Oryctolagus cuniculus: one gene and its partner. The protein of the gene in region 1 purifies or fractionates together with the protein of each later gene. This does not show direct contact. Links are inferred from orthologs where the notes say so. Each region holds a gene or a part of one and is shown on either strand. Other genes may lie near its edges.

Evidence for each region. Proteins that work in one complex are often made in the same cells at the same time.
Region 2: the proteins of SLC30A4 (region 1) and CIP2A purify together in Homo sapiens (affinity purification with mass spectrometry; 3 studies listed by BioGRID and IntAct, counting the BioPlex papers as one, with this or other methods). This does not show direct contact. The link is inferred for Oryctolagus cuniculus from reciprocal best matches to the Homo sapiens genes SLC30A4 and CIP2A.

Annotation. Positions count from the first base shown.
Region 1 is NC_091443.1:68,139,254-68,143,261, reverse strand, and holds the start of SLC30A4 (probable proton-coupled zinc antiporter SLC30A4), read left to right. Parts: upstream 1-1,516; intron 1,517-1,548; 5' UTR 1,549-1,625; coding exon of another isoform or gene 1,626-1,661; coding exon 1,662-2,052; intron 2,053-4,008. Other genes in the region: collagen alpha-2(I) chain-like, read right to left, coding at 412-457, 899-1,516, 1,626-1,663. UniProt on the Homo sapiens protein: Probable proton-coupled zinc ion antiporter mediating zinc import from cytoplasm potentially into the endocytic compartment. Controls zinc deposition in milk.
Region 2 is NC_091435.1:64,317,163-64,320,815, reverse strand, and holds part of CIP2A (protein CIP2A), read left to right. Parts: intron 1-3,289; coding exon 3,290-3,486; intron 3,487-3,653.

The DNA of each region.
Region 1 (4,008 bases):
CATTTTGCCATTAAAATTTAGATTTAGGGGGCGACACTGTGGTGCAGCAGGTTAAACTGCCAAAACGCTGGCATCCCCTCAGGGCATGTGTTTCAGTCCTGGTTGCTCCACTTCCAAACCAGCTCCCTACTAACACACCAGGGAAAGCAGTAGAAGGCGGCCCAAGTGCTTGGGCTCCTGCACCTACATGGAAACCTGCATGGAACAGCCCTCGCTGTTGGGGTCATTTAGGGAGTGAACCAGTGGACAGAAAATCTCCCTCTCTCCTCTCTCTCTAGTTGTGCATTTCAAAGAAATAAAAAAAAAGTTAGATTTAAAATCAGAAAAAACTATTTAAGACTCAATTCTGTCAAATGATCTCTGGATTTTGTCTTTTCTTTTGTTAAACAGAACCAAAGGCCAAAGAGATACCTCTAGCAGATTTCTTGTGCTCAAGTTTGGTCCACACGGTAAATACCTGAGAGACAAAAAGAACTTGGCAGTAGCGCACAGAATACAATGAAAAACAATAGTGAACATAAGAAGGACACAGAACTGCTGACAAAAACAGCCTCACCCTCTCCAGTGGACTTGACTGGGCAGCAAATAATTTTTTAAGCCTCGCTTGTATTTTTATCTTTGTCACGGACAAACAATATCTGTACCATATTTATGGGGCAAGTGCGAGAATTCGATACACTATACAAAATGTAAAGATCAAACCAGACAAATGAGCATTTTTTCATCTCCTCGAATATTTATCATTTCTGTGCGTTGGGAACCCTTGCCAACAAGCCAGAAACGCAGCAATGGGAGGAGGGAAAAGTCGCTTGGCTTCCCACTTAGCAGGAAAGCACTCGGGCTGTTTTCTGAGAAGCTGCCACGGCCAGGATCCCGGACGGCGATTCCTGAGACCCACCTTCGCTGGAGGGGACTCCGGGCAGCCACGCCCAGCCCCGGGCGGGACCGTTCCAACCCAGCCACCAAGCCCGCAGACCCCGGCCCGGCCAGCACATTCTTCTGGGAGGAGGAGGAAGGGCCCCGGGAACGCCGCGCTTGGCCAGTGAGTGACCCGGGGCCGAGGCGACCCCGCCGGCGAAGGGGCGGCGCGACCCGGCGCAGCCCCCGCGCGCGTCCCAGCCCTGCGCGCCGGGCCTGTGTGTCCCCGCGCCGACCCCTCCCTCGCGCGCCTCGCCCGGCGCACGCGCGCGGCCTCGCGCAGGGCGGGGAGAGGCGGCGGCCGCGGGCGCCCGGCCCCGAACCTGTCAGACCCGGGGAGCCGGCCTCGAGCGGCGGGCGCGGCGGGCGCGGCGGGCGCGGCGGGCGCGAGCCGCGGCCCCGCTCCCTCGCGGCCCCGAGCGGAGCAGCGCCAGCCGGCCCCGCCGAGCCGGCGGGGGGTTGGGAAAGGGAGTAGCGGCCCCGCGGCAGCGCCCCAGGTAGATGCGCCGCCCCCCTCGCGGAGCCCCGGCGGCGCCTCGGGGCCGGCCCAGCGCCCCGCCGCCCGCGGCTTCGGAACTTGTGGGCAGTGTTGGGGCGCCTTTAATTTATAACGTGTTTCGTTTTCCACAGGATGGGGAGGGACGCGCGGCGCTGCCCTCGGGAACTGGCGCTCCGGTGAAGTAGAGCCGCCGGCCGGCCGCCTGCACCGAGCGGTTCCGCGGCGCGGCCGCTCAGCCTCTGCCATGGCCGGCTCCGGCGCGTGGCAGCGCCTCAAATCCCTGCTGAGGAAAGATGATGCGCCGCTCTTTCTAAATGACACCAGCGCCTTTGACTTCTCGGATGAGGTGGGGGACGAGGGGCTGGCTCGCTTTAACAAACTTCGAGTGGTGGTGGCCGAGGATGAGCCCGAGCCCCCGGAAAGGCCTATTAACGGGGCGCACCCGGCGCTCCAGGCCGACGACGATTCCCTATTGGACCAGGACTTACCTTTGACCAACAGTCAGCTGAGCTTGAAGGTGGACCCCTGTGACAACTGCAGCAAACAGAGAGAGTTACTGAAGCAGAGAAAGGTGAAAACCAGGTTGACCATTGCTGCTGTTCTTTACTTGCTTTTCATGATTGGAGAACTTGTAGGTGAGTTGTGTCGCCAACTCACTTTTCCATTTGCCTTGCCTCGAGAGTCTTTGTCGAGCTGTAGTTACACACGGGTTGAGGTTTAAACTTCCCTTTCGGGAAGTTTGTTATTTATCAAGATCCAGATCTCAGGAGGTGAGAAGGCCTCAGGAATTCCAAAGTGCAGCTCAATCTGAGTACCACAGACAGAAAACTAACCGAGATCACTTAGGCTGTATCTCCTAGTTCTTCCTACTCTGTGTCATTTACTGTCAAGTCAAGGGCAGTATCTTCATTGTATGTCGTGTGATTTCCCCTTTTAAGATATTCTGATAAAACATCAGATCTTTTTTTTTTTTCCGCAACGTTTAAAATAGTAGATGGGTCTAAAATCATAGAATTTTACAGCATGAAGAAGCCTTACTGAACAGATGATCCCCTACTTTTTCACACTTAAGGATTCTGACAGCCCAGAGAAGTTAAATACCACTGGTTTAAATGGTCTCTTATATAATTTCCTTTTGTATTTTATAGCCAAGAGACTCACAGAATTAAATACTACCAACTAACACAAAGGGTTTATTATTATTATCATCATCATCATTATTATAAAAAGAATCTGAAATGAACCAGAGGGCTCCCCCAGAGTTTTATGAACTTGATTTCCATTTTTTAATTATTGCCAAAAAACCACATTCTCACTATAATATATATTCTTAGTTTAGAGATTATTTTCAGTCATGTTACTGCATGGTCATCCTCTAGTATCTGTGGGAGATTAGTTCCCAGATTCTTGCAGACAACAAAATCCAAGTCCCTTATGTAAAATGGTTGTGGTGTTATTTCCATATAATCTACACAATGCTCCCATATCCTTTAAGTGATCTTTAGATTACATATAATATCTAATATAATGTAAATGATATGCAAATAGTTGTCATTCTTTAGAGAATAATGGCAAGGGGAAAAAGTGCATATTCAGCACAAATGCAGACTTTTCTCTGAATATTTTCGATCCATGGTTGAATTGGTGGTTGCAATGCATGGATGGAGGGTCAACTACAATTGCTAACTTCTCTTAGTGACGGTTTACAAAGGGAGATCATTCTCCTTTGTTGTCTCTTAATGAACACAATGAGAGAAGAAGTTATATACTTTTACTACCTCATTTCGTACCACTCCTCTCCAGTGCTTATTTCAGCCATACTGGTTTTTCACTTCCCAGAAATCACAAAGTTCTTTACTCCATTTAAGGCTTTCAATTCTGACTAGTCCTATCTTGGTGGCTTTCAAACTTTTTTTTTTAACTTCTCTATAGTAAGAAATGCATTTAACAATGTGACTCATGTAGGCATGCATACATACCTATATAAGCACATATACATGTGTTTAAATATATATACATATACTTGAAACAAGTTTTATTTCATGTGATATATTCTAATTTTTTTTAGTTGTATCCCTGCCCACTAAATTGACTTTTTGGTCCACTTACAGTAAGTCAGGGCCTGTAATTTGAAAAATGCCACGTGAACTGGCTTCTCCCAGAACTTCTCTTGGCTTGTTTGTCATTCATGTCTCATCTTGAAAGACACTTCTGAGAGATCTTACTAAAGTAAATCTCTCTCTTCCCCTTCTCCCTCCCAAATTTTCAAAACCGTTACTATCTGAGATAAGCTCATTAATTTGCTTGTTAAATATCTGTCTTCCACTGAGAAACAGACTGAAGTCCTAGCACCTAGAACAGTGACTGGTACAAAGTTGGCAATAAATTTTTGTTGAATTAATCGACTTCTATTCTGTTAGAGAATTATAAATGCTTAAACTATAAATAAAAGATGGGAGAGAAGATGTGGCCAGATGAGGCACAGTCTCAATAGACTGAAGATTTAATGTCTCGCCCAAATTCATGCAATTAGAATGTTGAATCATTCAGACAGTGATTTTATGTTTGTATTTAATATGCGAGATAAAGTA
Region 2 (3,653 bases), on another chromosome or scaffold:
TTGGGGAGTGAACCAGTAGATTGAAGGTCACTCTCTCCCTCTCTCCCTCTCTCTTTCTCTCTGTAATTCCGACTTTCAAATAAATAAATAAATCTCTTTAAAAACAATTTCCGAATGAAAAACCTGAAAATCACACAGTTTATCTCCTATGATTATTTGCCAAGTTTAGTTGATTGTACCTTCTAAATATTACTGTGCTCTGCCTTGTCTCTGTTTCTGCCACTCTTTGCTATGGAACATCCGTTTTCTTTTTCATGAGATTCATAGCAGAACCTATAATTAGTCTTCCTGCATTTAGTCTGGTGCCCTCTTCTTTACTACCCTCTACGCTACAGCCAGAGTCACCTGCCTTTTGTATTTAGTTCTTCCCTCTCTCACCTGCAGTGATCTCTGGTGCAGTAATATTATACTGCCCATCCAGTGATGTGTATTATTCATAGGCGCTGCCATCAGTTTCCAGAATATCATTAAAATTCCTTAGTTTGGAATACTAGGATTCCAACTGTTCCTCAATCCATATCTGACATTTCTGCACATGTTTTGTTGTCAACCACTTTAAATTATTTGGCATTTTCTGAGGCTTCCCAGGCCCTTGTATTTTCCTATCTTGGTACCTTTCCCTCTCTTTGTTTGCCTAACTCTGCATAATACTACAGATTTTAAATACCGCCAGTTGCCAGAAACCTAATACAGTCTTCTTCCTGCTTGTGTTTGGCAATCCTTCCTCGATATTTCCACCTTTATAACATTTCTTATACCATGTGAAAATCATAGTACCTTCCATTCCACCTGTGATACCTACAAACCCTAGCACATACTTGGCACATGGTACTAGCTATGTTTGGCATATATATATATATATACACACACACACACACACACACATACACCTAATGTGCACTTCATGGGTGAGAATATAGTGCAGTAATATGAATTCCCAGCAAATACAAATGGAATTTATACAACTTGTTTTCGTTGCCAATTAATCATAAAAAAGTTGTCCAACTTTTGAATTAAGATATGATCAATGGCAAAATATCTTTTAAGTCTTTTTGGAATAAAGGTATTCTACAAAATATAAAGGAATATAACCAGGTTTCTTTATGCTATTTTTATGTTAACATAGTTTCGTTTGTCTTGTGTGGTGTGTTGAATGTGTCATCAAGTTCATGAAGGAAAATTAGTGGAATTAAAATCATTTTTTCTTGTCTTTTCTCATAGCATAGTCTTATATTGTATCAATTGCTCATTTCTCCCATTTTGTTAGAGAATTTAATATTATTTGTATGTTACTGGAAAATTTTCTCATAAAAGTAACACTGAATAATTGAGTATTACTTCTTTATGATCTATGTCATAAAAATAAAGAAGGGCTTATGTTATCATCTGGCATTTTAAAATAAGTAGTATTTTTAAGACTAAAGGAATGGAAAGAGTCCACTTCTCATTTCAGTTACTTTTCTGTTCCTTTAATTTTTTTTTAAATTTTTTTAACTTTTATTTAATGAATATAAATTTCCAAAGTACGGCTTATGGACTACAGTGGCTTCCCCCCCATATCATCTCTCCCACCCGCATCCCTCCCCCTTCCCACTCCCTCTCCCCTTCCATTCACATGAGGATTCATTTTCGATTCTCTTTATATACAGAAGATCAGTTTAGCATACATTAAGTAAAGATTTCAACAGTTTGCTCCCACACAAACATAAAGTGAAAAATAATAGATGATTTTTTAAATGATGATGAAATCAGATCAGACCTATTGTCATGTTTAATCCCAGTGAGAGTCAAGTTGGGAATTGATAATTTCTTCTTTTTTTTTTTTTTTTTTACAGAAGATCAGTTTAGTATACATTAAGTAAAGATTTCAACAGTTTGCACCCCCATACAAACACAAAGCGAAATATACTGTTTGAGTACTCATTATAGTATTAAGTCTCAATGTACAGCACATTAAGGACAGAGATCCCACATGAGGAGTAAGTACACAGTGACTCCTGTTGTTGACTTTACCAATTGACACTCCTGTCTATGGCATCAGCAATCTCCCTATGCACCAGTCATGAGTTTCCAAGGCTATGGAAGCCTTTTGAGTTCACCAACTCTTATCTTGTTTAGACAAGGTCATATTCAAAGTGGAGGTTCTCTTCCTCCCTTCAGAGAAAGGTACCTCCTTCTTTGAAGACCTGTTCTTTCCACTGGGATCTCACTCACAGAGATCTTTCATTTAGGGTTTTGTTTGTTTGTTTGTTTGTTTTGCCAGAGTGTCTTGGCTTTCCATGCCTGAAATACTCTCATGGGCTTTTCAGCCAGATCGGAATGCCTTTAGGGCTGATTCTGAGGCCAGAGTGCTGGTTAGGACATCCACCATTCTATGAGTCTGCTGAGTATCTCGCTTCCCATGTTGGATCATTCTCCCCTTTATTTATTCTATCAGTTAGTATTAGCAGGTACTAGACTTGTTTATGTGCTTCCTTTGACTCTTAGTCCTTTCATTATGATCAATTGTGAACTGAAATTGATCACTTGGACTAGTGAGATGGCATTGGTACATGCCACCTTGATGGGATTAAATTGGAGTCCCCTGGTATGTTTCTAACTCTACCATTTGGGGCAAGTCAGCTTGAGCATGTCCCAAATTGTACATCTCTTCCCTCTCTTATTCCTACTCTTATGTTTAACAGGGATCACATTTCAGTTAAATTTTAACACTTAAGAATAACTGTGTATTCTGTTCCTTTAATTTTTCAAATCACTTGTTAAATATAGGTTTTGTTCCCTGATTGTATTAAATGTTTGAATAAGCATCTGTATTTTAGAACAATGACAAGTTAATCATTCATAATTGGAAAATCTAAAATACTCCAAATTAGCACCAACACATGTCTCAAGTAAAAACATTATACATCATGAAACTTTCACACAAAATTGATAATGTATTAAATAATCTTCAGGTTCTGTGTATACAGTATATATAAAGCATAAATGAATTTCATGTTTTGAGTCATATCTCATCTCCAAGATATCTCATCTATATACAGATATTCCAAAAATCAAAAATACTTCTAGTCTTACGCATTTGGATAAAGAGTTCTCAAACTATATTAAATTATTAGAAGTGGTTACGTAATAAGTGCATATATGTCATATATACTTACTATGGCTAATATAATTTTACATAATCCAATGAATACTGTCTATTAGATTTTTGGTGAATTTTTTAAGTTGTAGAAACTTGAGTATATTATTAAATAATGTTAGAAAATCTCATGTTGTGTTTCCTCTTAAGGCACGTACACTGGCTGGTATGTTGAGAGAAGTTGAGAAGAAAAATGAAGAGCTTAATGTGTTGCTGAAATCACAGCAGGTTGAATCAGAGAGAGCCCAGAGTGATATTGAGCATCTCTTTCAACACAACAGGAAGCTAGAATCTGTGGCTGAAGAACACGAAATATTGACAAAATCCTACATGGAATTGCTTCAGAGGTAAACTAAGCTTAAAATCTAGAATGAACACACAGCATTTCTTCTCCTTGACCCTGAAATGCTTTTGTAAGCATTTTATGTATTCTGATAATAGTATAAGGTAATGGTAAGTAATTAGTGAGAAACTTAAGTCATAGTGAAATGAAGTATTGCTTACCCAAACTCAT